Coturnix japonica: one gene and its partners. The protein of the gene in region 1 purifies or fractionates together with the protein of each later gene. This does not show direct contact. Links are inferred from orthologs where the notes say so. Each region holds a gene or a part of one and is shown on either strand. Other genes may lie near its edges.

Evidence for each region.
Region 2: the proteins of SIN3B (region 1) and ARID4B purify together in Homo sapiens (affinity purification with mass spectrometry; 3 studies listed by BioGRID and IntAct, with this or other methods). This does not show direct contact. The link is inferred for Coturnix japonica from reciprocal best matches to the Homo sapiens genes SIN3B and ARID4B.
Region 3: the proteins of SIN3B (region 1) and SAP130 purify together in Homo sapiens (affinity purification with mass spectrometry; 3 studies listed by BioGRID and IntAct, with this or other methods). This does not show direct contact. The link is inferred for Coturnix japonica from reciprocal best matches to the Homo sapiens genes SIN3B and SAP130.

Annotation. Positions count from the first base shown.
Region 1 is NC_029543.1:3,322,302-3,332,375, reverse strand, and holds the start of SIN3B (paired amphipathic helix protein Sin3b), read left to right. Parts: upstream 1-5,246; 5' UTR 5,247-5,329; intron 5,330-5,752; 5' UTR 5,753-5,836; coding exon 5,837-5,859; intron 5,860-6,361; coding exon 6,362-6,515; intron 6,516-7,188; coding exon 7,189-7,452; intron 7,453-7,785; coding exon 7,786-7,929; intron 7,930-8,153; coding exon 8,154-8,276; intron 8,277-8,741; coding exon 8,742-8,831; intron 8,832-9,247; coding exon 9,248-9,366; intron 9,367-9,683; coding exon 9,684-9,891; intron 9,892-10,074.
Region 2 is NC_029518.1:34,281,177-34,291,150, forward strand, and holds part of ARID4B (AT-rich interactive domain-containing protein 4B), read left to right. Parts: intron 1-374; coding exon 375-465; intron 466-3,315; coding exon 3,316-3,395; intron 3,396-4,680; coding exon 4,681-4,772; intron 4,773-6,976; coding exon 6,977-7,115; intron 7,116-9,974. UniProt on the Homo sapiens protein: Acts as a transcriptional repressor. May function in the assembly and/or enzymatic activity of the Sin3A corepressor complex or in mediating interactions between the complex and other regulatory complexes.
Region 3 is NC_029524.1:1,636,437-1,646,410, forward strand, and holds part of SAP130 (histone deacetylase complex subunit SAP130), read left to right. Parts: coding exon 1-37; intron 38-733; coding exon 734-875; intron 876-1,115; coding exon 1,116-1,237; intron 1,238-3,466; coding exon 3,467-3,769; intron 3,770-4,665; coding exon 4,666-4,837; intron 4,838-6,065; coding exon 6,066-6,170; intron 6,171-6,871; coding exon 6,872-7,233; intron 7,234-8,400; coding exon 8,401-8,649; intron 8,650-8,777; coding exon 8,778-8,903; intron 8,904-9,730; coding exon 9,731-9,834; intron 9,835-9,974. UniProt on the Homo sapiens protein: Acts as a transcriptional repressor. May function in the assembly and/or enzymatic activity of the mSin3A corepressor complex or in mediating interactions between the complex and other regulatory complexes.

The DNA of each region.
Region 1 (10,074 bases):
GGCTAAACCCTAATGTAGGCTCTCTGTAGTGTTAGTTTCTTGCAATAAGAGGCTTCATCTCCCCATCTGTCTGATTTATGATAGATTAAGATGTCAGTTAATCTCTTGATTAACCTTCAGTCATCTAGCCAAGTACTGTGTGCAAAAGGAACCCATTACATAAATACACACTACTAATTTTTCTTTAATTATTACTGTGTATGCCAGAGGGATGCAGAGGGGATACAAACAGGGATAGACAGCAGCCTCCTCAATCTGATTTCAAGAGAAACCGATGAACTCGGCTCCTTGGGAGGTCTGTTTTCTTATCTCTGCCCACACCATTTGACAAAGGCAAACTGTGAAAGGGAACAGGCATGATCCTGGGGGTTGAAAAACCTCCTTTATACATCTGAGTGCCTGAACCTTATATGAAGCATGTAATGGTACGTTCGCCACTAAATAAAATCCCTACCACCACCTTAAAAAGAAATTAGAGTACAGGGGGAAGTAGCTCTAGAACAGACAAAGGAAGACAACAAAGGGTCCTCAGGTGTGTACAGCACCTGGTAGGGAGCGTATCAGCCTTCAGACAAGACCTTGGGGATTCTGCCAGGTGACAAACACCGGTTGCTATAGAGATAGCAGTGCTCTCCAAATGCAGAGAGATGCTCCAGGATGCATCTCAGAACTGACAGCCAACCACTTCCTACTGCTCCTGTCAAAATAGCTGAAATTTCCACAAGATTTCTTAGGAAAAAAAACAAACAACAAAAAGACAAAACAGCTGTCTCTGGAGACAGGCACTGCTACTGTGAGAATTGCTATCAGTCACCTCCTGGCTAAAGAGCAGGCTCAGCTGGGAACTCAGCAGGTCCAAAGAGCAGCATGAGCTTCAGCCCAGACACACACACCAAAATCTGCTCTGTGGGAAGATGGTTCCTCTTCCTCGCCAGCCCTCCCCCCACTCCAAGTCTTTGTCAGCTCAGATTTTTCAGGTAAATAAGCTGAAGCATCCTGAAGTTCCTAGATGCATCAGGTATCCTCTGCATGAGTCTCCAAGCTGTTACACTGTGGTGACACAGCTGTGCTCAGGAGCAAAGCCTGCAGCTTCATCTGTGAGTGGAGGTGCTGTACTTTATATACATCCTTATTCTGTCAGAGATAACAGCTTGGATGCTGACTAGAAAAGCAGATATGCAGCACTACTCTTTTACCTTCTCAGAATTCACATTCCTTCCTCAGCCTGTCACCCCATTAGAACCAAGCATATATATAGAACTGTAGCCCTCCCTGTCTTATTCAAGGGCTTGGCTGGATAAGGACCTCAGTTCATTATGTACTGTACATCACATAAACACAACTATGGGAGCTCTCAAGCCCACCACAGTCATGTTCTCAAATGATTTTCATCTCTGTTCTCTGTGTATATTAGACTTGCTCCAAAGATGTGCTGGCCAGGCTGCTTTTCTTTGTGCTTTCTTACCCAGAGGTAACTGGGAAGCTGTGCCAGCAGCGCCTCGGCTGGTTCAGTGCCTGTCACTACCCTGATCTCATTCAGTCATGTGGATTTCTCCGTACCTGAGAAACCCCTCCACACAATGCTCACCAGATTCCTCAAAGGTAGGATTAGCCCTGGGGATGGCTACAGCCCGAGCAAACATCTAATCATCCATCTGTTATGAGCAAGATCCAAGTAAGAGTAGTATAAATAAACAGAGCAAGAAGGAGATCATACGCATTTCTCTAGAAATACCATTTTGCCTGTGAGCTTACACAAAGGCAGAATAAAGGTCTATTTGCCTTTGTGCTCAGAGATGCACCATCCCCACTTGCAACTGCTTCAACAAATGAGAATAGAGAAAGTGGGTCATTTTGTCGCCAGGACAACAAAAGCACACACTGACCTAGATATGTCTAAGGGAACCTAATCTTGCTGTTGGCACAGACTAAGGGATTCAGGCAGTGTTGGGCGTTTCCAGTTGGGGAAGCACAGCACATTAACAATCTCAGATTGTTTTTTTTTGTCTGCAGTATCAGGAACAGACTTCCCTCTTTGTTTCTCACAGCAGGCAGTGCAGTGATGGCACTCAGTTCTGATTACCAGCTGCTGGTGGCAGGTTCCCAGGATGGCTTAATGCTAGTCTGCAAGATGGAAGTTACAGAGATGCTGCACACCCTCCCTGGTGAGCATTCTCCATTCTTTATGGTCGGATAGCTTCTTTCAGGTCTGAAAAAAGCCTTGACAGCTTGGCCATCACCTCTTAGCCATCAGCATTCTGCCAATTGCTGAAAGCACCAAGAATCCCTTGGTTTGTTAATCCTCCTCTCTTAACTCATAGCCAAGGTGAGGTGTGTGAAAGCATTTGGAAAAGGAACATGCACTGTCTCAGCTGCCATGGATCACTGCCTGTGCACCTGGAATTTGATTCCTGGCAGAGTAAAGTTTGTTATCCAAGATGCACATATTGAAGAGCACCCCTCCCATCACCTTCACTGGATGAGAGGCACATGACTGTATATTCTTCTGCAGACACAAAGGTACAGCCATTCCTTAAGGGTGCTGAAAAAACAAGCACTTAAGGAGCTACAGCCACAATAATGGATGTTGTGTACACAAAAGGTAGCTCAGGCCTTGCTGCTTCTGTCTCTTCTGCCACCTCTTCACTAGGTCAGTGCTTCATATCTGGAGACAGCACTTCATGAAGGAAAGCAAGCAGGTCAAATGCCTCCAGGTGCTTCACACATTCCTTTTAGAATAACTCCATATTAGCAGTTGCCCAGTATCTGCCTTGCAGTGTTAGGAGCAGGATATTTTTTCCTTGGCTTTGCTGGTGTTTCATTCAAGTTAGTCAAGCTATATCATTCCACCTCTTTAATAGGTACACTGGTATGCAAGTATGATGGCATTAACAGCGAATTACTGCCCTAAGCTATCAGGAAGAGCCAACCAACAGGATTCATGGCTCCCCAAGTCCTGCGCAGAGCTGTTTAAACTGACAGACAGCGTTCAGGTCTGATTCTGAAGCACCTGGATACATTATCAAGGTGCCAACCCTGTCTAACTGAAGAAGCACTATGTGTAATAGTGTTACTGTTAGCACTACTATGACACTAAAACATCAGTCATGGGAGTTACCCATCTACAGATTATTCTTGCTTATGCCAACTAAATGAAAAATATGTCAAATCTGTGACAAGAATAAGTCCTCCCAAATTAACAACAGCAACAGAACAGGATAGTTTGGGCCAGCTCACACCCTCCTTAAAGGACTGCTCTGGTAAAAATCTTTAGTAATGTTTTAACACTACTCTTAAGTACTGAATAACCACTGAATACTCTAGGGCAGCCTCACCTCAACCTGTGCTTTCCATGTCACAATCTGATCCCAATCACCATCTGTTTTCAGTCCTGAAAAGCATTCACTGTGCATGCTTCTCAAAAGATGACCAATACTTGGACACAGGATCAGACCATCACAGTCTGGAATGTTGCAACTGGTGAATAACTGAATTGTTAGCAACATTGAACAGCCTTAGAGCACCCTACATGCTTCAAGTTTGAGTTAAAACACCCATGTGAATGAATATTAGATCAGAAAACAGCCTAATATCTTGGCCAAAGCCTGCCAACAAACAAAGATGACTTTACTAAGCCACAGTTATTTCAGCATATGCACTATGCTTCCTTTTTCTCAGTTCCCACGAGCAAACCACAGCAATGCGTTCGACTTACCCACCTTGTATCACTACACCGGAGTATATATCCCAGAAGAGGGTAGAACACTGTAATGCTATAATAACAAGTTAGCAAAGACTTGAATGCAGCAAATAAGAATGAGCTTGAATGCAGCGACCATAAATTCAGAAACTGAAGAAAATAACTGCTTACCTTTGGAAGGCCTCAAGTAAGCAGGGATCTCCAACCAGAGATACCCTCACCTCCACAGCCAACCCTTCAATGAGGGCTGGGAAGGGGTGGATCCTGGCTCCACCCCTCCATCACTCAGCAGCACTGCTTGCACCTGAGCTCCCTGGGTTGGCCCTGCCTTCCCACCAGGTGTTCCAACACTGTTTCAGGCCATGACATAGCATTTCCACTACAAATATCAAAGCCAAAAGCTGAAATCCCAGCACTACAGCTCTCAGCAAAGGGTTCAAATAGCAGTCAAGTTAATTGCAAATTCAACCCAAGGTCTCTATGAGACATCCCTATGGTGTCCTATGGAGAAACAGACAGCATAGCATACTGGTTTCCCTCTCTCTCATGTAGCAGTAGTGGTCCAATTCAACAGAGTTCAGTTGTCTGCTGGGAAAGGAAGCAGGGGACATGCATTAGGGGAAGCCCAAAGTTAGGGATGTACATTAAGCCCTTTGCTCTGTGCCTGGCCCCACAGGTGCCTTGCTGGTGGTGCAGCGCATGCACAGCACTGCTTGTAGGATCATTCCCCAATGCAGATGGGTTTGTGGCCACCACGAGGCTGGGTCGCATCATTTGTGAGAGGTTCTGTCGTCCCACAAGAGCCTCTTCTCAGCACACCACCACCACAGCTCTGTGCAACGACATCAGAGGGAGGGACAGGAGGAAGTGCAGCACACAGCAGTGTGACCAAGGAAACCCTTCTGGGAGCCTGATCTGGACCGACACGCTGTCCCACATCTGCTCGGTGCTGTAAAAGCCAAGATGAATAACCTGAAACAGCACAAACAGCCGCTCCCCTCCCATCTCATCTCATCCCATCCCATCTTATCTCATCCTGCTTCAGAACGATGTGGTTGAGTAGCCCTGCAGGTCCCCTCGCCTTCACAGCACGAGCCACCGCTGCCACGTACCACAGAACGAGCGTGTAAGATCAGCGAATAAGCAACAATAAATAAAGACGGTGTTTGATCCACAAATGCCACAACGGGCGCTGGAGCTCAGTTTGTGCCCTTTAATCGCGGCCCAATAGGAGCGGCCACCGCGAGGGCCCCGGGCTCCCGTACAACGTCCGTCCGTCCGTCCGTCCGCCACCCGCCGCTGCCCGTAGCGGTCCCGCATTGCTCACCCCGCGCAGCCCCGTCCCTCCCTCGTCCCGCTCAGGTTTCCCCGCCGCTCCCGCCGGTGCCGCTGGAAGGGCCGGAAGCGTCGCGCGGTGCGGGCGGTTCCGCTCCGGGCCGGGCCGGGCCGTGGCGCCGTGCGCGCTGACGCAGACGCTCCGCACGCGCTGACGGGGGGCGCGCGGCGGCGGCGGCTCCGACTCCCAACATGGCGGCGGGGGGCGGCGGCGGCGGCCGGGGGGGCAGCGCCCCGCGATGGGGCGGCGGCGGCGGCGGCCGGGCCGCGGCGCAGGAGAAGCTGCCGGTGCATGTGAGTGCGGAGCGCGGCCCCCCGGGATTCGTCCCCATCCTCGCGGAGGGCGGCGGGGAGCGGCCCTGCCCGCCCCGCCGTGACCCGCCCCGCCCCGGTCCGGCGCCGAACCCGCCCCCGGGGCCGCGGGGCGCCCCTCTGCTCCCACAGCCCGGGGCGCCCCCGCCTTCCCCCCCCCCACACTCGGCCCCGTTCCCCACCCCCGTTACCGCGGCCTTCCCCCACCATCCTCCCGTCCCCTGATCCCCCCCTCGGTCCCACAGTTTCGGTGCCCTCAGCCCCGCTCCGGTATCGCGGCGTTCCCCCGGGGTCTGTTCCGTCTCACCGGCGCTCTCAGCGCGGTGGGGGTGTCAGCCGAGGCCTCTGCAGCGCCCCGGGCCTGTGCGCCCCCTCCCCGGGGCCTCAGTAGCATCCCGCCCACAGGTGGAGGATGCGCTCTCCTACCTGGACCAGGTGAAGATCCGCTTCGGCAGTGACCCCGCCACCTACAACGGCTTCCTGGAGATCATGAAGGAGTTCAAAAGCCAGAGGTAAAGCCCGGCCCGGGCTGCCCCGGGGCTGTCTCAACCTTGGGGGCTTCCTCAGCCTTCACCCCATGGTTCCCCTGTCCTTGCTGGCCCAGTTGTTCCACGCTGGAGGTGATGGAGGAGGTGTCCATCCCAGTGCCGTCTGCTTCCTTGTTTTCCAGAGCAGAAATCCATGGGAAAAGAACAGTGTGTTTTTACATCCTGCTCTGAAACGCAGATTTGGAAAAACAGATGAAGAATTTTAAGAGTATTGCTGAGAGCTCTCAGTCTTTGTGTGGTGCCCATATTGGGTAACCTGCATGTTCTTCTCTATGGAGAATGTTCCCAGTGGGTGGCTGCAGTGGATGCTGCTCCTTCCCTCTGCCTGGGCTCACTCCTAGGTCTGAAGATTCCAGACTTGTTTTTGATGAGAATGGCATCTGGCTTCTCACCTACCTCTGTAGTTTTTTGGCCTTAAGTTGTATTTCTGACATAACACAAGTAACAAAATTCTTCTCAATTTTAGCATCGACACACCCGGAGTCATCCGACGCGTCTCACAGCTGTTCCACGAACACCCCGACCTCATTGTAGGATTCAATGCTTTTCTCCCTCTGGGATACAGAATAGAAATTCCAAAGAATGGGAAGTTAAGTATACAGTCACCGCTGACAAGTCAGGTAGGTTATAAAGCTCACAGTACTCCAAATAAATCCTATTAATATATTGCTTCGCACATCTCTTGCGCTGTTTAGGCTATGTACGTTTGCATGTATTGCACATTGCAAAAGTTCTGACCTAGTTTTTAAGATGTGGTAAGGGCTACAATGTAAAACTGAAATACATCTTGTGTGTGATGGTTGGGTACACATTGGCCTCTCCTTTTTTCTTGTTACTGTGCAGCTGTGGAGGCCGAAATAGAGTTCTTACTGAATTCTGCTGATAAAGTTGTGGTTTAATGCTGATTAGTAGCAGTATGTATCTTTCAGATCTTTCTGTTGCTCAGGAGTTTAATGTTTCTTAAAACTGACATAGAACAGTGGTAACAGGAACTGCAGCACACATTACCTGGTACAGCCTCACAAGTGTGGATAATGCAGGGACAGTCAAAAGCAGCAGTGAGTCAGACTGTTTACCAAGTCAGATATGGCTTATGGGTTTGTTTGTTTTTAACTCGTGGTGTTAATAACACAGGGAAGAAAATGTATTAGCAAATTAAATCTTTTTTCCCCCCCACATTTATTTCTTCATGTGGTAATCTGTTTTAGCTAAACATTTAAAATATCAATGCTAGGATGTAGTTGCACCTGTGTTTCAACACGAGTCACTGTCTTGTATGTCTTATGCCACTAGGTGCCCTCAGAGCCTGTTCCCAGCGCCCTCCCTGGCAGCGGGCTGTTGTTGCATTACTCACAGGAGAATTCGCACAACCACAGTGACTGTACTGAGGAGTTTAGGCACCAGCTTCCGTACAAAGAAGATAAATCCCAAATCCCTTTGGAGTCCGATTCTGTAGAGTTCAATAATGCCATTAGCTACGTGAATAAGATCAAAACGCGCTTCCTTGACCACCCAGAAATTTACAGATCCTTTTTAGAAATTCTTCATACTTATCAGGTAAAAAGCCTTCAATGTAAGATAGATTATGGGTTTGTGGTGTGGCTGCTTGAACAGCTATCAAATGAGACATCAGGCTTTGTGCAACAACTGCCTCATAGATATTCATATGAAATGACAGAAGTGTGAAAACTGTCGAACCTCCTGGGCTCTGAGATGCAGAGGGGTTGTACGTGGATCTGTCTTCAATAACCTTCAGCTGATGTAGTGATAACCTGTGGGATAGGAGCCTTGGACTGTCTAATAGTTATATGAAGTTTATGTTGTGTTTTTATTTTGGCTGCTGTGAGTCGTGTGTTTGTATCTGTTTAACATCTGTGTGTATCTTTTCAGAAAGAACAGCTTAACACTAAAGGTCGACCCTTTCGGGGCATGTCAGAGGAAGAAGTATTTACTGAAGTAGCAAATCTGTTCAGAGGCCAGGAGGATCTCCTCTCTGAGTTTGGACAGTTTCTTCCAGAGGCTAAAAGGTCTTTGGTATGTGTATGCTTAAAGCAAGGCAGAATATTTAATGCTGCCTGTTCATATGTAGAATGCATTATGGAAAGACTCACAACCTGTAGATGAAATTCACTTCTCTTCACTGCTTGGAATTTCACAAAACAAGTCACTTAACTACATGCTCTTTGTTCAGATAAACAGGATTTGTTATTTGTACAGACTGAGGAGAGAGCATTGAAACGATGATTTGTTTTCTTCAGTTCACAGGAAATGGACCATGTGAAGTGAATAGTGTCCAGAAAACTGAGCATGAAAAGAATCTTGAGCACAGCAAAAAGCGATCCAGGCCGCTGCTGTTGCGTCCTGTTTCTGGCCCAGCAAAGGTATCTCTCTGCAAGTGACCTCATATTACTCGTTTTGTTTATGTAATTCCTTGGGTAAAGTTGTAATGAGTAGTGACTGTGAAGCATGTAGGTTAGGTACAAGGGGGAAAAAAATCAAAACTATTTTATATAATCTGCAAGGAAAGCATTCTAAGATGTATATGGTAGCATGTTGTATACTGATCATCAAGCCTTTAGGTGCAGAGTATTGGTCCTCAAAAGGGTAATTCATGGCTTCTGCAAAGGAAACTTTCTTTGGAATTCTTCCTGAAGTGATCCTTCTCCTCCTCAACTAGGATTCATTTGATACAGATTGCTGTGGAGGACTTGACATAGCAATGCTAGATTGCTGTTCGGGAAATACCGATGATCAGACTTTGCAGAGAGCTGTTCTGTGTCAACAAGTGGAGTTTGATAGCATTTGAATGACAACATATTAAGTATAATCGTTTGTTCTTTTGACAGAAGAAAATGAAACTGAGAGGTACCAAAGATCTGTCAGTAGCAACAGTGGGAAAATATGGAACGCTGCAGGAGTTTTCATTCTTTGACAAGGTCAGTACACGGCCTGTTGTCACGCTGTGGGCTTACTTTAAACTTGTTATTATTTATTTAATCTGTGTGTCAGCACTTAGCAATTGCCTGACTTCAAGTGGCAGAGGGAGGGCAGACCAAGAAAAAAGCAAATAGATGGGTTTGGAAGAATGGGAACTGATCATTAGCCATTTCCCGAATGCTTGTTTCTATCACGTACGTTTTACTGTGCTTTTCAGCAGCATTTCCTGATAGTGACTATATGTAGCTATTAAATTAATGTTTGAAACTGAGACTTCTGGGGAATGTTCTCTTTTTATGCTGCAATGCAAATAGAGGTTGGTCTCCATACCTGTGGTTCAGACTCCTTAGAATATGAACACTAATTAAAAGTGACATTCAAGTGGTTTGATAATTTCTTTCCAAACTGTCTGTAGGTGCGTAGAGTACTCAAAAGTCAGGAAGTCTATGAAAATTTTCTCCGTTGCATTGCTCTCTTCAACCAGGAGTTGGTCTCTGGTTCTGAGCTGCTCCAGTTAGTTACGCCATTTTTAGGGTAAGTTACTGATTGCCATCTCTGCTGCATTGGCCTTTTTCAGCCTTGCTCTGTTAATTTTTGGTAGGTGCTGTGAATTTTGTCACTGAAGCTTTGAATTCAACATCAGAAATACATTTTAGGTAGCATGCCAGCAATGCAAAGCTAATCCACAAAGAGAAATAATACAATTGGAATCTTTAATGTAGCTACCCAACTCTTGGGGAGCATTCTGGGGAGGAGCTTATTTAGGTTTCATGCTTTTATGACAAGTATTAGCCAGCCTAAAACTGTTGGAATGAAATAACATAGGTCATGCTTATTTGTGTTTTTTGAAGGAAATTTCCAGAGCTGTTTGCACAGTTCAAGTCCTTTCTTGGTGTAAAAGAGCTTTCGTTTGCTTCTCCACTGAGCGACCGATCCGGAGATGGAATGAGTCGGGAAATAGATTATGCTTCCTGCAAACGCATTGGATCAAGTTACCGTGCTCTCCCAAAAACCTACCAGCAGCCAAAGTGCAGTGGGAGAACAGCCATTTGCAAGGAGGTACTTTGGCATCATCCACTAAATCCCTGCACAAACACTGTAATTATGTAAATGAAAGTACAGCTTCTGCACATGGGCTCCTCTTTAACTGACTATCCCTCTTCAGTCTTGTATCAGTTATTCATCCAATTCATTGAAATAAGAGTATCCACATTCAGCTTGTTAGATTTATCTAAACACATC
Region 2 (9,974 bases), on another chromosome or scaffold:
TGGCTGATGCAACCCTCTTTGTTCTTGGACTTAAATCTAAGAAGTTTGGCTGGCCCCGATTTCTAGCTACTGTTGCTTTGGAAAACACAGCTAGAGCAAAAACTGGGCAAAAGCTCTTATACAAGAGAATGACATCACTGAGACTGGTTCTTGTTCCCCACCTGCTGGCAGGAAATAATCAGCTCAGTTAAGTTGGCTTATTTTAGCGGGGAGAAAGAGAAGTTTTAGAGTACAAACAGATTCAAATGAAGCTGCAGAAGTGTAGTATATTTAACTATGTCTATAGTAATTAACTTCATTGGCTGAATAAAAAGGTGTTAACTTCATTGTCTGTTTTAGAATCTTTCCAGAACTAAGTGGCTTTTGTATTTTAGGTAGGAACTGTTGTGGAAGTGAAGAATCCAGATGGAACATACCAGGAAGCAGTTATCAACAAATTAACAGATGCAAGTTGGTATACTGTAGGTAAGATAAACAGTAAAGTATTTGAAGAGAACTATTGACTTAAATATATGAGTGACCTATATTTTTCTTGGACATGTCTTAAGCATGGCAAGAGAAATTTTTTGGAGATGCTTTTTTATATTCAAGGTTTGTAGTTTAAAAACAAAAAACCCCACACAAAATATCAACATTTCTTTTTGTTTATCTCTCATCTCTCATCACAGTGTGAAACTGAGATGTGAAATAAGGATTAAGTGAGCTGCTCTGTGATTGGGTATTTCTTAGTGTATGCAATAACAGTATATGTTATTAAATATTCCAAAGATTAACAGGTTTTTTTTAAACACAGATTGCAATACTTATTTTCCCCCCACTTTTATACTTTGCCCTGATAACAACTGCTATAAAATCAAAGTCATAGATTTTTTTTTCTCATTTTTTTAAAGTTTCCTGTTTATTTTCCCTATTCTAGTACATGACGTTTCAGACTTCAGATGATGTATCCGCATACCCACATACAAGCCTTGATTATTACTGTAATTTTGCGTAGGCTTTAGAGTCGTGAGTTTTAATCATTGATGCTGTATGAAATCAGATCAGTCTATCCCGGGGAGAGCAGGTCAATGGTAGAATGATAACAGACTTTCCACCTGTGCGTTGGTACTAATAAGCCTGTAACAGGAACTTCTTGAGAAGTTGAGTATTTGTCTCCTTGATTGATACTGTGCGTGTGGGAGGATGGAGGACTAGATCTTGAAAGAAGCTTGTCAAGAATTACTTGTATTGAGATGCTAAGAGTTGTTAGTGCCTAAAGCACTGTTGAACGCTTTGGGAGAGTTTTCCCAACCTTGGTTCTTTCAGAAAGGAACAGAGTTTACATTTGATCTTCTACATAAGCATTGTAGAAAATATTTCAGTTTTCCTATTGAAGTACAGTGTATGAGTAAAGGAGAAACAAGGCAAGGATAGGGTGAAACATGCTGTATAAATATATTAATTGATATTATAGATACCTCTGGTAATTAGTACAGAGGCAGATCAGATGTGAGAGATTCTAAGAACAGAATGGTATAGCTGGTGTTAGAATGGAGTGTGCACATAGAAAGTTTTTGAGAAAGCATGTATTTAATACTTCAGCAATAAGAATGAGATAGGAGCCAGTGCAGATTAAATTCTGAAGATAGGTGTCATGGAACTGGTTTGTAAATCAAAGTAGATATCTGTCAAAAATCCTGCACTCGAGAAAGAGGAAGAAGAGAGATGTGAGAGTTAGTAGATAAAAGCAGGCTTGTTGACCTTGCAGAATCAGTAAAAGCATCACAGCTGGTGACAATAATACATTTAAGAGAGAACTGACTCTAGCAGTAGATGGTTTGAATAATCTTTTAGTCAGGACAGTGAGTTGAGTGGGTCTGAAATTCACCCTGTAGGCAGTGATGACTTTGCATATGTGAGTGAAAGTCTTGCTTTAAGGAATAATCAAAATTTACCGCATTTTAGAAGTAGCACACTTCTTAACCAGCGGGGTTATCTAATGTTATCCTATCGTTTGTGAGAAGTATCAAAGTACTTACATCATTAATGATTCCATGAGTAAAATTACTTACCTTTGGAAAGTAAGGCTTTATGGAAGAATAGGTCTGAGGTAGTGGCATTCCAGAAGTGAATGTGTTACCATTTGTGCCACTGCAGCAGTGGTGTGTAGAAATAACAGTAACTGTTGTTCCTGTGTTGAAGTGTAGTCTGACTCCCTTCTGCACCTTTTTTCATCATTATACTGCTGGTTTTGCTTTTTTTCCTTTCTTGCAGTTTCAGGTGCAATGTTTTAAAGTGTAGTACGTGTTTTTATGTCTGCTTTTAGTTAGTTTTGAAGATGTCCCATCAGGTTTGAATTTCGTGTGCGTTAAAGCCTTATCTGCTATAGTGGCCACACAGTCTTAAAGACTGATGGTGCTTTTCCATTCACTGTGTTAGGGAACAAGGTTAAGGATCCCTCTGACAGGGAAGTGACCACAAGCAGATTAGCACATAGGATACGTAACCTGCCTGCCTACCTAGCTCTGAATGGGTTTACCCTTGTTGTAGTCAGCTTATCCCATGAAGAGGATAGGCTTTTTTTTTTTTTTTTTTTATCTCTCATTATGTAAGGACACTCAGTTATGTTAATTAACACTAACTGAATTAGGATCCTGCTGCCTTCTACTTCACTTAATCAAAGGAGATCTTAATTGCGTATTGACCATTTGAGATGTACCTCAGAAGTTGGTGTGTTCTCTTGTGCAGCCCTTTTTACTTTTTCAACAAATTTTTAAGTGTCAGGTGTGCATCCATAATTGCTGTTTTTCACTAAACCATACTCAACAATTAGTGTAGTGAAAAACACAGAATGGTAATCTTAAGGGGTGGGGTTTTTCTTGTTCTTTAATAGTAGTGGATTATAGGGATGAAAAAAAAGAATCCCAGAACTAGGTACTAGTTACTTCTTTATTAAATAAATACTAGTCCGGAGTTTTGATGTACCTTGGTTGTTTTTTTTATCATATTTTAATTAGTAAATGTTGGAACTAGAGTGTTGTACCCGCTATTCGATGACATGGCTGAAAACTAAGCTCTAATCATGCCAGGCATCTTCTGCTGGTTGACAGCCATTCTCTGAACACTGTTATTTTGCCTCCTGTTTGTAAAAGTGTTTATGTATTTTTCCTTTTCTAACACAAGATTAAATTTTAATGAGTCAAACTCAGCAGTACTGTTGATTGACAAAAGAGAGCTTAAATGAGAGTGAAAGAGAGTTACTAATATCCCCATTTTGAATAAACAAATATTTTTTTCTTTTTTTTCCCCTCTTCACTATGTATTACTTGGTGACAGTGTTTGATGATGGTGATGAGAAGACTCTCAGACGCTCTTCACTTTGTTTAAAAGGAGAGCGGCATTTTGCAGAAAGTGAGGTAAGTGACTGATTTTAATACTACTCTTTATTTAGAAAAAAATGTATCTTTTGTACCTCAGTCTTTAATATGTTGTGTCCATCCACATGACTAGAAATAATGGTTGTGTAAAATACACCTTGAATAGTTTGGATTCTGTTTGTTAAAACCTGGGAATAGAGCTGAATTTCACTAAGCTTTGTAAGTTGAAGAATAAAGTAAATGTTCTGTGTTTTTCACTTTTGTATTAGTAATGGTCTGTGGATTGTGGGTCACACAGAAAGCAGCCATCACATTGCTTTACATGTTGAAAAAATCTGTAAATATCCATTGCAAAAAAAATCATAATATGGTATGCAATAAATAAATATACATCTTTAGGCATCACTACTATTGGGTTTTAGTAAGTGATTAAACTATTTTGTGACAGCCAATAAACTTGACAGGTCAGTACAAACAACTTGCAGGTACAATTCAGAGGAATGTGTTTACTTTGGAAGACGTTACGCCTTCTTTCAAAGAAGGAAAAAGCCTTGTCTAAAACAAAAACAAGTAGTGCACACATACCAGGAGCCTTCAAATCTGGAATGATTCTTTTAAATTGATATTGCCTTTTAAATAGGTAACAGCAGCCTTGAAGATGCTGGAGGTCTTTGAGGCGCTTGTGTTGCTGTTTTAGTAGTCTTGCTGATCGAAGGAAGTTTTCTTTCTCTCCATCTTGTTTGGTTGCTAGTAATACTCAGTACTGGAACAACTTGAACATTGTTTTGGAATGCATCCCATGTCAGCTACACATTTTTGTTAGTAAATCAGTTTGTTTGCTGCTACTGGGTTAGCTCCCTGTTTCATTTTATATGGGAACCTTTGTAGATGGTTCAGTATTTAGTTAGTTGGGTGATAGGACATAGGCAAGAATTTATCCTGTAGAGATGAAATATCCCAGGTCAGCAGAATACCTGATACTCCGTTCTCTGACTTTGGATGATCCAAAGACAGGACTTTGGTAAAATACTTGTATACATGTGTTTAGGATGAAAATTAATTTTGTTTGGGTATAAGGGAGAAGGAGTGCTTTAAAGGAAACACACGCAAAAGCACATGCACAGAAACCCCACGCAGAACTATTTCTATTAGACCTTAAAGCAGTGACATTATTCTAGCATTTTTCTTTGGTAATGAGTCAGTCTGTATTGGCAAAAATTTTTTTAATGTGGTAATAGGAACTTGCATTTTGAAGAATTACTTACACAGCTCTCATGAGTTTATATGCCTGTATTTTTATGTATTTATTTTTGTATTTCAACAGACTTTAGATCAGCTTCCACTCACAAATCCTGAACACTTTGGGACTCCTGTTATAGGAAAGAAAACAAACAGGGGAAGGAGATCAAATCATATGTAAGTTTAATGTCTTTATATCTGTGTTTTTATTAAATTGTGAAGCTCTCAATATGTTTTCTTATTAGCTGTTGTGTGTTCAGACTATAAACAAGCAAAAACATCATCAACAACAAACTACTCCGCAAGCTATATGAGAAGTGTTGTTCAGGGCTCAGACTGAAAGTCAGCTTTTCCTGCGTTGCTGCATGGAAGAATTACATCATTTTCATGTTATCAGTACTTAAAATGGTGGCAGATATTGACAAGTGGGCTTTGACAATCTATTGAATTTCAACTAAAAACATTATGACACAGTCTTTGTTTAGCTTGAATTGAAGTGTTTGTAGAAGGCACTGGAAACCTCATGTAGTCTTTTGGTTTCCTATTACAGGGTCTCTGAAGAGCTTTTAGAAATAGAATAGTATTATGGTCTGCAGCAAAGCTTTCTGATAGAAAAATAACAGTCAAGAGTAGTGACTTGATTTCCTGGGTGCTGGAATTTGTAGTAGTTGGGAACATGAAACGACGTTATGAAAAAACTGTTTTTGTTGTTGTTTTTTCATTTTTAAGTTTTGAGGGAGTAATGGCAAAGATGGGGAAGGAGTTGGAGTGCTTGGATTATCCCTTCATGTTTTGTCTTCTTTGTAATAGTTGCTACCAAACATTGCCCTGTGTTTGTTCAGGTAGTAGGGTTTTTTTTGTTCTTTAGTGTTTTTTTTTGTGTGTGTGTGTGTGGTTTTTGATTGTTTGTTTGTTTTACTTCTGTAATGTAGCGAAGGAAAAAGACAAGCTGGCACACACAGCAAACATGATTGCTGCCCCCCTGGTGTCTGAGTTGTTTTCTCCTCTGTTTCCCTAACTGTACAGGATGTTGTTATGGCAAAAAGAGCACACTTATTTTTATCTTATGGTTCATACTGACTGAACTGAGTAAAAAGACAAATTGTACAGCTGATGGTAAGCTCAGCTACACTGTGATCTCTCCAAGATAGCCCTGGCATTCTATTGTCCTTGACTTATTCTTTTCCCACAAGAATTTCTCAAAGCCCAGGAAACACCCTAAAAGAATTCCATCATGTGCTTATAAAGAAATAATTAATTTAAAAAAAACCCAAACAGTTTTGGGGAGAAATAATGCTTTTATTAATGCTGCAAATAATGTCAGGTGGAGTAGAGAGAACAAAACAGAGTAGTTAAGCTTAGACTTTAAGAACATTTTTTGCTAACGAAAAGTGAGCCTTCTGTTAACACGGAGCTTTGTGCGTAGAGATAGTTATGGGAAAAACAGAAGTTAGCTTTTAAATTCTGCATTAAATGCATATTGAATATGCTTGTATTTTTTGAGTTAACTTGCAAAGAGAGTAGTCAAAAATGTAATATTTAATAATAGAAAAACAATAATGTGTGTATGTGTAGCGACTGATGCTGCATATATTTTTTAACTGATTGCATTTCGTTTTAGTTGGAGCCATTTCTTACATTTCAAGTCTCCATATGGTTAAAATCAGCTATAACTTCATCCTGGAACAGCCAAAACAATGACCTGAAACCTTTCTATAATTAAAATACATTTGCATCTTTGTTTGTCTACTTATGTTCCTACACTTTGTTCTGTATGAAATTGAAGTAGTCATTGCAACATATCAGTGCAGATTATTTAAAGAGCTATTTTGGGATAAAGAGACTTTTTTTCTCTCTTTGCTGTTTATCTTCGTAGCTGACGTTTTTTCATAGATTTGGAGATCTGTACTTTTAAAATAGTCATTCTGTTCTGTGTGGAAGACGACAGCAGGCTTGTAGATGACGGCTGTTAAAGTAAAACCATAGAGAGATTAAAGTTGGTTCAAAACTGCAACTGCCACTGTATTTTTGAACAGTATTTTTGAACTGGGGCAAAATTAAGATTTTGAACGTTCTGGTCGTGCATTTCTATTCTTCCATGTGGATGTTTATTGTCTTTCTGTATTGTTTTTTTCTCTCCTGGCAGGTATTACTTGTACATATGCCTTTCTGAGTTTGTAATGGTTTAGTTACTGTATTTTTTATTTATAAATATAGTTATTTATGAAGACGTAAAATAATGTTATTCATTATTAGTTTAATATATTTGACTTCAGTTCAAGTCAGTATTGTTTCTGCTATTTTTGACAGTTGTGTTGCTTGTAATTATAGTAGGCAGGAGATTTGAGTGGTTGAGTTTTAAGTCTTTTTCTATTGTTCAGTCCTGAAGAAGAATCTTCATCCTCTTCCAGCGATGAAGATGAAGATGATAGGAAACAGAGTGATGAGTTGCTAGGAAAAGTTGTGTGTGTCGATTGCTTCAGTGTGGATAAAAAGAAAACCCTGTGGTTTCCAGCCTTGGTAAGAATTTTACCTTTAATTTTTTAAAGATCCGTGTGTTGCTAGACAGCAAAGAAAGGTGGTTTCTGTTGTGTATCCTTTTCAATAGATTTATCTACATTGTTAGTTGAACTTGATACATTTCTTGGATGTTATACAGTGTTTCCTATGAATACTATATGTAAATACTTCTGTTTATGCAAACTCATTGCTAACGAGGGTTTAGTTTTTCCAAACAGTCAGAGCTCATTGACCTATTTCTAGCTCGGCAGTGTTACGTATTACTACCAAACTAATACTGGAGGGCTTTCAACCTGTGTTTTTGTATATCATTTTTCTGAAGTAGCAATATTAAGAGAGAAGTCCTTCTAAGTGTAAAAAGAAAGCTTAGTAATTAAGTAGGCATTACTTTGAAATGCTTGAATCGTTTCTCCTTGACAGTGCTGACAGTGTTTTTATTGAATTTTAAGAAGAGTTGTTTGAAACAATGCTGCTTTGACATTAAACTCTTGGTAGTGTTTGCAGTAACTCTCAGTTCCAACTTTCTAGTCATCACCTCCTGAGTCTTGTAATGTAGTCCAGAGGCTTTCCAGAAGGATTTGTTTTGAAAGAGTTGGTGGGAGAGGATGAGTCATTGCAGTCTCTTTTACAGCAAAGGAGAGGGCAGTAGATGTGGCGATGAGATAACCCTGCTGATGAAAGATAGCTTTAAGAGAATTTTTCAGTAGCAGACAAGAAAACTGACCTGTTTCTTTACTGAAAGCTGTCAACAAATTTGATACAATACCGCCTACCTGCTGTTGATAACTGTGCTGCAGTTATACTCTGTGAATGGGTCAGTTTGCTGGCCTGCTTTTTCTCATGCTGCTGTTAGGCCTTGTGATAATCCACATAACCGACAGCAGTGTTTCCTGTGTAGACTCGGGTAGCTAATCTGCTTGCGTAGGGTGGAATGGATAATTAGGATAACTGGGGGTTAGGTCTTAAGAATTAACGAAGCTCTGTTGCTCATTCTTCCAAGGTATACAAAAAAAATGCATGCTGTTATTTCTTTAGCTTTCATTTGGGGGATGGAGTAGCTTGTTCTGTGTGGAAGGTTCCCTGCAGTAAATGAGAAGCAGCAAAGGGATCAAGTTGGAAGGTGGATCTTGTTAACTCTGAAGTAGCTTATCCTAGATTAACTGTTACTTCAGTAATCAGGTTTACAGTTTTGCAAATAAATATGGTATTTAACCTTAAAGGTTATATCAAATAATAAATGTATTGCCCAAATAGCTTCTTTCCCCTCCTATATCTGTGATGCTCTGTTTTTTATCTTTTCAAGTGTTACTTGTGCTTTATCAACAAAGTAATTTTATTTTGTTTCTGAGCAGTTTTGCTTAATTTGTATAGCATGGCTGACTGTAATTATGTGGATAATAAGCTGAAAAGGCAGGCCTCATATGTTGAGGAATATGCATCTCCAAAATGCTTCACTTTATTATTAATGATGCCATATACATATACAGTTAGTGGCTAATTGTATTTAAAATAAACAAAAAGGTCTGGCAGTTGCTCTTTCTGTTAGGTAGTGTGCTTGGTAAGCTTGATAGTGTTATTTAGTTAGAATATATACTTAAAGGCTTTTGGAAATTACAGTTAGGAAATCTTTTCACAGCTTTTTCAGAAAACTGGGCTTACATAGGATCATCTCTCTCATTCTTCTATAAATACAATGGAGTTTGTTTTGCAAGGAAATCAAGAAGACTTGATTTAGGGAAAATTGAGATTGTGCCATTGTGTGTAAGGCATTAGATGAGATTGTGGCGAGCTGTTTTCTAACCTGTGAATGGATTTCTGACCGCTACAAACTTGAGGCTGCTAGAAAACCGGTAGCTGAAGTCAGGCCAACTTATCAGTCTTTAAAGAGCTTGGAGATTGTCTATTTTAAATGGGGAATGATTACTGTTTTATTTTCCTAGATACTGATGCATTCCTGCAAACTGTATCTCAGACTGCATTTTAAGTTTGTTTTTGTATAGTACTTTCTTTGGAGATTGTAAAGCACGTTGAATTTGGAGACTTGCACTGCCAAGTTTTACTTCTCTTAAGAAGCCTGTTTAACCTGTGCTGTATGATAAGCCACACAGTTGCAGCTTTTGACTTCAACTTCTAGAACACTACAAAGCTGACAGCCTACATAATGAGAAAGACGACTGTATGTCGTACAGTATCTTTTTGTATCAAACACAAAGTAGGACTGGAAACAACTGGTTTAAAAGAAGAGTAGTTTACTGGGACTAAATTAGAGTTGCAGTCATCTGCTGCTCCTTGGGGCTTCATATCAACCCGAGTTTTCTTAACTTTCTGGGAGTAATTCAAGTTTTGAGAGAAAAATGATGGAAAGGGCCACTTTCCTGTTCTGCAAGTATGAAATGTCAATGAATAATGTACGTGTTATCGCATTCATCAACTTTTTAAATTAATGACTTTTATACTAACTTTAAAGATTCAAATAGCTTTTAAAATTGCAATAAGCTGAAGGTGGTGTCTCCGTGCTAGGCTAGACTTAATAAATTTATTTCTTGTATTAAAGAGTCTATCATAGCACTTGTACATGAGATATTATTATCTCCCAGTAGGTAGCTTATGAGACATTCAGGGTCTGGCTGCATGAGACTCTGAGTAACCTGATCTAGCTGTAGGTTAGTTCATTTCATTGCAGGGCAGTTGGACCATATGGCTTTTAAAGATCCCTTACAACTCAACTGATTCTATGATTCCTTATGAAATTGTGTGTGTGGGGGATTTGTTTGGTTGTTTCTTTTTCTCCTCTGAAATTGTGGGTTATGGCATCTTTGTGATTTCTGGATGTGTTCAGAAGAGATCCCTGATGGCAGT
Region 3 (9,974 bases), on another chromosome or scaffold:
CATGCTACAGCTGTCACAACCTCAAACATCCCAGTTGGTGAGTGATTTCAGTTCCAAGAGCAATGTGTGCTGGGTACTTTGGTTGTACTGTTTATGCTAGCAGTGTTTGTGTGCATTGGAACATCAAGGAGGGGAAACAAATCAATCCAAGCAGGGAGAAATCAACTAGAAGGTCTGCTGTGGCACAGCTTATTTCAGTGCCAGAAAGAAATTGATGTTCTAAGAGAAATAAGTAATAAAATGGCTCATTAACTTACTCAATTGAATTTTCAGACAAACAGAGGCTTTTTGGCATTTCAGAACCTGCACTGTATGTGCTAGGAGTTGTAACTGCTTGGCAATAGGGCTTTCTTAGCTGGTTTTTGTAAGTTCCTTCCCACGCAACCTTTCTTCAGGAAGTTATAGAGAGCAATAGAGACCCTGCATACATAGCAAGGAGGGTTGAAACAAGGTTATCGTTATGGTCCTTTTCAACCCAGGCCTTTCTGTGATGCTTCCTATTGAAGCAATGTATCATCACTGCGGATAGGAAATGATTGGAGGTTGGGGGTTTCTTTACAGTGGGGCTGGGGCTTTGTGGCTAGAGTAGGTGTGGTATTTGGTCTTGTGTAGGTTTTTTTTTCAGTGTGGCTTGTTTCTGTCTTGATTTTTGTTGGGGATTTTTGGGAACTAATTTTGACTCTGCAGCGTCTCCCAGCTTTTTCTGACTGATGACTTGTTTGTCTTTATGCAGCTAAAGTGGTTCCTCAGCAAATCACACATACTTCTCCCCGGATTCAGTCGGATTATACAGCAGAGAGGAGTAACCTCATACCCCTCTCTAGTCACCGGGCATCTCCAAACCCAGTAGCAATGGAAACCAGGAATGACAACAGGTGAGGAGATAACATTTCTATGAATAAGAGAGTGTGAGTAGCTTTTGAGTACCTTACTACTTGTCTGGGTTCTGATACCCCAGGGAACAAGTCCTGAGAGAGATTTGGTAGTTCTGAATTAATCGCAAGAGTTAATAAATATGACAGATGTGATGACAAAACTTGGGCAGCGGCCCAAAGACATGAGGTGAAGGTAGGCAGGTGTAGTGGTGTAACACTTGTTGTTCTTGCTGCCTGCAGGCAGTCGGTGCCTGTCCAGTTCCAGTACTTCCTACCGACCTACCCGCCCTCTGCCTACCCGCTGACTGCTCACACCTACACCCCCATCACCAGCTCGGTGTCCACCATCCGCCAGTACCCAGGTGAGGAGCTGTGGGATGAGCTGCTGATGCTTTGCTCAGTTGTTTGTGTGCCACCTGCAGCATTTGGGAGCAGCTGAGAGGATTGTACGCTCCATTCTGGTAACTTGGCACTGAGTCTGACTTCTTGTTGGTTGAGGGGAAAGCATGAGCAAAAGGAGCACTGAGCTACATTAGAGGCCTCCTACACACAGCTAATGACCATTTTGGTGTGAGTTTCATACTCAGTATCCAGAATTTCTCTTTAAAGTGTCAGATTTCACAGATCAAAAAGGAGTTCCTCCAAAGCAAATAAGCTCGTTATCCATCTTCATTCCCTCATGTTCTGAGAAGCACGTTTTTGATATGTTTTCATATGACTGCATGGTCTGAGAGAGAAGTATGAGCTGAAAGCAGAAAGCAAGTTGCATTGCAACCTCTTGGTGTTGTGTTGACAAAAATCAGGTGATAACCAGTTTGAATTGTTGCAGTAGTTTGTGGAGAGACAGGAAAAAAATATCACATATAACGTGAGCCAGTGCAGTCATCCCAAACTAAGGTCATTCTCTTGAGACAAAAACTTGGAGCACTTCACCTTGCTGAGTAGCTTAGGGCAGATATGGTGATTTCCAAACTCTAAGAAAATGCCTAATTCGGGTTTTCATAGTGTCTGCTGGTAGCATGTTGCTCTTGACCAGTACAGTGGCCTTGGAAGGACATGGAAGTTGCAAAGTCCATTTGCTGACTGGGAAAATATGCATAGGGAATTATGTGTTACTGAGGCCTGTTCTTTGTTAGTGACATTGGAAGTTGCTGTTGAAATTGAAGTTTCAGGTCTTGACTGTAAGTCATGAGCTTCAGGATGATGAGTTGGGATATGGACAGTGGAGCTATTTTGCTTATTACATTGATTTGAAGCATCAATTAAAGGTATTAATTAGGGCAGTAACTGGTGACACCTCAAAGCAGAGAACACGGTACAAGGAGGGATGCAAACCTACGCTGAGGACAGCCATGGAGGACTTAGCAAAAAGTACAGAGGAAACCTTTTGAAAGATCACTGAGCTGAGGGCTACCTCTGTGCTTTGAGGAAGGGGGTCAGCTTTGGCTTTCCAAGAGCCAGTTGTGCTTCCGCAGTCTCCAAAATGATTTTGTTGGATGGGCAGTTCTGCGACAAGTGTTTCACCTTCTGTACCCTGAGCAGACGTGGTAATAGGAGCCATTTCCAGGGACTGGTGCTGTATCTTAGCTTTTAAGATAGCTGTTTTTAGAGGGACTGGTCAGCACAAGAACTTGATGGAAATCCTGTGACAAAACCAGCTCGTTCAATTGAGAGCGTTCTCAATTGTTAGCAGACAAGCTCATTGCTGCAAGTTAGCACTTCATTCTGTGCACGGCTGCAGAAATTATGTTGCTGTTGTGTCATGTTTGGAGCTCTGGAGAACTGCAGGAAGTCCAATGTGGCCACTAAATGTTCCCTGTGAGAAGTGCAGCACGACTTAGGGCAGGTCTGGAAAGATGTGACCATAGTTGCTTAGAGCTGTACATTCAAATTAGCTGAACTTTTCAGTTTAGGTGCGTCACTGGGAACGCCGCAAAGATGCTGCGTTCATTGTAGCTGCAGGAATCAGCCTGTAATTGCCTGTTGTGAGTCAGATAAGATTGCATTCTAGGTCAGATAAGATTGTGTTCTGGGTCAGAATGGTTTGTCCAGCTGTGTGAAGTGGAACTGTTTGATGTGGTGAGAGATGTGGGAAGTGAGCACTGTTTTAAGGTGCTTGCACTTGGGTCTGTCTTCTCCACTTGCTTTTGTACAGGCAAAGATGTTGATGTTATTAATTGATGTAATGAGTTCTGTGCAAGACTGTGTTTTGGAAAGAATTCCTCGAGGCTTCCAGGGTGCTGAAGCAGGAAAGGTGCCAACTGTGGGTACTTGGAAGCTTTGTGTGAAAATAAACAATGAGAAAATACTCTAGTGAGCAAAAAGAGCACCCAGATTTCTGAGACTGGGTCTAGAAACATAACCTTAGCCTAACGTTGATCTTCATTGTTGTAATATGGGGTGGGGGAAAAAGTAGTGGTATTATTCTAGCAGACAGCATGGCCTTGCTGCTCTCAAACTCATTCCTGCTTCAAGCAGGATGTCAAGTTGACTTTCAGAAGAGCAGTCTATGGGGGTACCTATAGGGTGAGAGGTGGTGGGGTTGAAGTGCCCAGCCAGGCATGACCAGCTGTCCGTGTTGCTGCCTACAGTTTCAGCCCAGGCGCCCAACTCGGCCATCACGGCGCAGACGGGTGTCGGGGTGGCATCCACTGTGCACCTCAACCCCATGCAGCTGATGACTGTGGATGCATCCCATGCCCGCCACATCCAGGGCATCCAGCCAGCACCCATCAGTGCCCAGGGCATCCAGCCGGCGCCCATCGGCACCCAGGGCATCCAGCCAGCACCAATTGGGACTCAAGGACTGCACCCAGCTGCACCCATTGGCACGCAGGGGCTGCAGCCAGCGCCCATCAGCGCTCAGCAGCCACAGGCTGACACCAAGACCTCAGGTGAGTGGACTGAACCCATAACTCCTGTACAGCTCTGCCTCAAGGGGGTTCTTTAACTCTGGGTTATGACATTGTGGTGGATCAGATACATCCCCATGAATGTTCTCCTTCACTAAATAATTAGTGAATGCAATTCATTGGCTTTTTTCAGGCACTCTGGGTAGAATATATGGGTAGTGTTGGATGGGTTGTGTGTGCAGGAAAAACTTGACAGTGCAGTCATTGGTTCTCTTCAGTCCATCCTTGTGGGAAGAGCTATTTACAAGCAGATGCTCACTGAACTGTTACAGCTGTGTTGGGTCACTGCAGCAGTAAAACATGGTGAGGTGCCTCCAGTTCAGACTGTGATTAAAAGCCCTTTTTTCACAAGGAAGGGTTTGTGTGATCAGATCCCAGTGATGGACTGAAGGGAAAATGGCAGCTAGGAGCTACCATTGTGCTGGCAGATAGCACTGCGACTCCCTGCCTTGTTGTTCTGCATGTTAGTTTTCCTGGCAGGGCTTGGTGAGCAGCTCAGAATCTGAGCAGAGCTGCCAGCTCACTTACAAAGTTCAAAGTTGCCACGTGGCCTCCACCAGCAGCCCCTGTTGTGTTGCTGACCTCCCTGGCAATTTGTGTGTCTTCCATTTCTTCTGGAAGAAGTATTTCTGTAGCCAGTAGTTGTTAGGCAGGGGGTGGCTGTTATCTGCCCTGCAGGAGGCCTTGTTGGCAGATTAGTAGTAGTTATGGTGTTAGTTATAGAGTACTGGAAGCGCTGCAGCTAAATATTGGGGGAGTCAAAGGAGCAGAGACAGCATCTGTTCTGCAGACACCTGCTTTGTTGTCAGACCTCCTTCAGTAACTGCTCCTTTTTCCTCTGTTCCTCTCTCTGCTCTGCCAACATCCATCCTCCCCAGCAGTAGTACTGGCAGATGGAGCCACCATTGTAGCCAACCCTATTAGCAACACCTTCAACACTGCTTCTGCAGCAACTACAGTTGTACAGACCCACAGCCAGAGTGCCAGTGCCCCAGCACAGGGCTCTTCCCCACGCCCCAGCATCCTGCGGAAGAAACCAACCACAGATGGGTGAGTAAGATTGAAGGGGGGACGCAGAAATGGCACCTGTGTTCAATCTAGCCCAGCTACATGGCAGTATTTGATTGTGGATAGGACGTTATACAGTCAGCAAGTGGTTGCAAGTGACCTGCTGATCTGTGAAGCACAGTTTCTTCTCCTCCAGGATGGATCATAGCTGCTTCCTCCTCTCTGTAATAAGATGTCTTTTGAAAGTGACCTTTAAAGGGAAAGTGGTTTTTGTTAAGCTAAGCAAGAAAGCCTCAAATCCAAAGAGGTCAATTACTAAAATTAGAAATCCATGCTTTGCTTTCAGAGCTTTTCTTGGAAGGGTGTGTGGATGAATAGTAAGGGTGGATTGGTACCCTGCTGTGCAAACTGATTAGGGAAAGGGGAGGGAATCACTTAAAATACTTCATGTTCTCTAGCTTAATTTCAATTGCCTGAATAAAAGAGGCAGGAGAAAGCATTAGAATTAACAATCCATTTCCTCCTGATTAATGACTGAATATGTTTGGAGCTGATATGTGCTATGAGGCTAAACCGTGGTGCTTCTTTTTCATTTGGGTGGAATCCTTTAAGGCAGAGAAGTTGCAAGCTGTAAAACCAAGGCATAAATTACAGAAGCAGCTGCAGATCACCGGAGAATGTTCCCATTTGAGCGTCTGATTATTTGGAAGACAGTCTTTCTTTCAGCCTCACAGGGGACTGAAAAGTCTCTTAAATGTTTTTCTGTGTGCAGCACTGAGCTGTGTAACGTCCACGTGCAGGTCTGGAGATCCTGGAGCCAGGCTTTGGCACAGTCTGCTCCAACTAAGTAAAGCAGTTGCCCATCTTAGTGCTGTGCTGTTTAGTTCCGGATAATTTGCTCTGTCCTGAGGTTATGTGGGATGTTGGTGTGGCCAGATCTCCCTTCCCCCCCCCCCCCACATCTGGAGCCTGGCAGTCTCAATAAGATGCCTTGACTGGCAAAGTGAAAGTAAGGCTGGTATTTCTGGAGAAACCCCAAATGTGAGGGAGTCTCAGCCAGAGCAACTAATCTCTTATCTTTAAAGAAAATAAAACCTAGAGGCTTGGTTAAGAACAAGACTTTCTATAGCAGGTTGGTTAGAGTGAGTGCACACAGAGAGAGATTTGACTCCGATCCTGGATTTGGCAAGAGGGGATTGATTCCTTTCCTTTCAGTGGTGTTTATCTTTGCATCAGAGGTGGGAACTTCAGATGTGCCCTTGTCTTACAGCCTGGCAGTCCGGAAAAGCTTAATTCCACCTCAGCCACCTGAAGTAGCGAGCACACGTGTTGAGAATACGATGCGAAGCACGTCTGGATCACCAAGGCCTGCTGGGTAAGACAGGGAGAAAAGCAACTACGTCGTACTGGCTTCATTTGTGTGTCTGATTTGTGGTGTTTGGGCATTGAGGTGCTTTCTTTTGGAAAAGGTGTTTTATATTTGTCAGTGTGATGAGTTTGAATGGATGTACTTGTGTTCCGAAGCTGAGGCGATGGGCTTTTAAAGGGTACAGTTATGAGTTTGGGTGGAGGTAGTGACAAGAAAATCACCATGTTGTGTTAAAGGCCGTGCTGTAGAACTTTTCTCTATAATTCTTTGACGTTAACTCTAAAGGAAGCTGAATTCTACCTGCTTCACTTGTATCCGGTGGCTTTTGTAATTCATTGTTTTAAAACCACTAGCCCCAGAGTGTGAGCTCTCACAAAAAGGATGAGGGCAGTACAGCTTTGGGCACACGTTCTATTTGTTTGCACTGTGAAGCTGCACTGCTCCTTTTGTGAGCGTTTTGAGGCCATCTGCAGTCAGTCGTGAGATGTGCATGTGCATTAGAAGAGAACAGCACCTTAGACAAAGGGCTTAGAGAGCACAGCTGAGATGACACACACTCCTGCTACTACAGTCATTACCCAGCCAGGTGTTACTGGTACAGGAAGAAACTGACCCAAGTCCAGCTGGTCTCATTTACTTTGTGCTAGAAGGTTGTGACCGAGATGCAGTTGACATCAATTTGTTTTACTTTTCTTTCAATGTCACAGTGCCAAACCAAAACCTGAGATTCACGTGTCCATGGCCACTCCTGTCACAGTGTCTATGGAGGCTGTGTCCAACCAAGGCAGTGAGCAGCCCACCATCGCGGTTCCTCCTTCCTCCCAGCAGCCCCCCTCTGCCATTCCAACCATCATTGCCGCAGCCAGCCCCACCTCGCAGCCTGCAGCAGCTCTGTCCACCATTCCAGGAGCCGTCCCAGCTGCTCCACCGACTTCTACCACAATTGTGGCTGCTCCTGCTCCTCCAGCAACCATGAGTGGGGCCCTTTCAGCAGTGCTGGGACCTGTGGTGCCAGAGATAAAAATCAAAGAGGAGGTGGAACCTATGGACATAATGCGACCGGTATCTGGTAGGTGGTTTTTGAAGCATCAAGGTGTTTCTCTTGTTGAGAAAGTGGATAAATTAGGATTTCAACACAAGCAACCTGAAAATGGAATGACTTCTCTTTCACAGTAGCACAGAAAATAAGTCAAGGAGTTCCTTCACGCCTCACTTTCTTATAGTTCTGATCCCTGCCTACTGCTTTTCAATATAGAACAAGGGACTTGGTTTTGTGACATGACTGAGGTATGACATGCTATATGAGCACAGTATGAAGTCTTAATGGCCCAGTAAATAAAATGGAAAGCAACGATTCAGGTTAAGCTGACACAAGTTAGTAACTCCTAGAAGGAAAGGGCATTGCAGCGTCTGAGAGGGTTCCTGTCTCAGGTACTAAGAACCGCAGAACAGCAACTAGGTGAGCATCTCTAGGTTCTAATTTGCCTTGTTCTCCTTGATCTCCTGTGGAAACCACTTGGGGTTGGAGCTGCTTTCTTCATTTTCAAACAGTCCAGTTGCAAAGAGTGTATGAATTGCATGCTTAGAACACAGTCAGCAGCAGAGCCAGTATAATACAAACCAGTGCAGTTAATCTCAATTGAGATTTCATCCCAGACATTTGCTGTGTATTACGTGGCACGCTTGGTTCAGTCCCTGCAAATGTAAAGGGTTATTTTCCCCTCAGGCTCCCGCTGCTGTGCTGCCAAGCTCCAGCAGTCTGTTGGTTTGTACAGCAGCCTGCTGACACTGGCTGTTGACTTGGCAGTATAAGTGCACTGACAAGGAGAGCACTGCAGTCATGGTTTGACTACATCTGCCTCTACCTGCACTGAAGAGGGGACTTGCCTGTTTTTGATTGTGATCTGTGGTGAAACATCAATTCAAAGATGTTTTCTTTACTGACCATGTGAGAGATATTAGCACAGGTTCCTTTTCAATAGCATTCAACTGCTGCAAGCCTTGAAGGTGAAGGAACTGAGTGAGAACAGTCTCTTGTCATTTTTTGTTCTGAGGATCTTAGAATACAGGCATTGTCCTAGTGATGAGTCCTGGTTCTCATATACTAAGGGATGAACTGCATCTGTGGTGGAGCCCATGTTTCTCACAACGCACTGAGAGGAGATGGTGTTAAAACACAGTACTGCTACCTCTGTGCCACTGGTAGTTGAGGTTCTTCTCCTTTCTCTCCTTCCAGCAGTCCCTCCATTGACTACAAGTACTGTCTCTCCATCTTTGGCACTGCTGGCCAACAACCTTTCGATGCCTCCAAGTGATTTGCCGCCTGGTGCCTCCCCAAGGAAAAAACCCCGTAAGCAGCAGCACGTCATCTCCACAGAGGAGGGAGACATGATGGAAACAAACAGCACTGATGATGAGAAATCTACTGCCAAAAGCTTGCTGGTGAAGGCAGAGAAGCGCAAGTCTCCTCCCAAGGAATATATAGGTAATGCCATCTCTGACACTCTTCTCCTACTTGAACATCTGTGTTTTACCTGTTGCCTGTCACGATTGCTGCCGTGCTGGTCTCCCATGTCACAATAGTAACACAGCTGTCTGTGATCCCTTTTGTAGATGAGGAAGGTGTGAGGTATGTCCCGGTGCGTCCCAGGCCTCCCATCACATTGCTCCGCCACTACCGCAATCCTTGGAAAGCCGCCTACCACCACTTCCAGAGATACAGCGACGTCAGAGTGAAAGGTCAGTGTGCTGCCTGAGGAGCTGCATGGGCTGATGATGATGATGATAAGCTGCCCCACAAGCAGGCTTTGCTCACAGTATGGAACACAAGCGTTGGTCACTCACGTGAGCTAATGACTTAGTTAGCTAGATGTTGCTTAGATCTTTTCTCTCTCAAGACTGAGAAGAAAAGGGGAGGATCTTCTATAGAGTCAGATACAATTCTAACTGTCTGGTTAACCGAAAATGTTATGTTACTGAGAAATGTATTTATGTACAAGGATAGAAACTGCCTAAAGAAATTCCTAAATAGATTATATAGCGGTAGGCTATGGCTTGGCACTCAGATTGCCTTACTACCTAACAGTGCTGCCAATGTAATCAAAAGCGTTCCCTATTTAATGAGTCTCGTGAGCTAACAGATGGGCCTGGTGCGTTTCTATGGGATGTTTCTGATAGTAAGAGGAAAACTGAGATCAGGTTCTGTGATTTGGACTTTGTGGCTGGTAGGAAGGAGCAGATAGGTATTGCAGCAGTGTGAGATGGACTGCTTGCTTCTTCATGTACAGTGTTGGAAGCAACACCTCGTTTTAGAGGAAGAAAGGGAAAATCAACATTGCAAACAATAAAAAATGATCTGAAAATGCAGATGAGCCATTGGGGGGTGAGAGCAGCCTTCAGGTAACGTGGCAGATGAGTCGTTATGTTCCTGTCCCAATCAAAGTGTTGCTGACTCTTCCTTAAGCAGGATGTGTGGAAAGCAGGAGCTGGGTTAAAGCTTTTGTTTGAGAACAGAGGCCTGGTGGACTCCTGAAACTTGAACCTCTATTTGTGTTTTTTGGTGACAGAAGAGAAGAAAGCCATGCTGCAGGAGATTGCCAGTCAGAAGGGTGTATCCTGCCGTGCACAAGGGTGGAAGGTCCATCTGTGTGCGGCGCAGCTGCTGCAGTTGGTAGGTGCATGGGACGTGCCGGCTGCCTGTACCGCGGGGAACACGGAGCTCTGTAAGGCAGGATGTTATCACAAACTCAGTACATGCTCACCTGATGCAGGGATGCCATAAGCTGGTGTGTAGCGCCCAAAGGGAGTGGG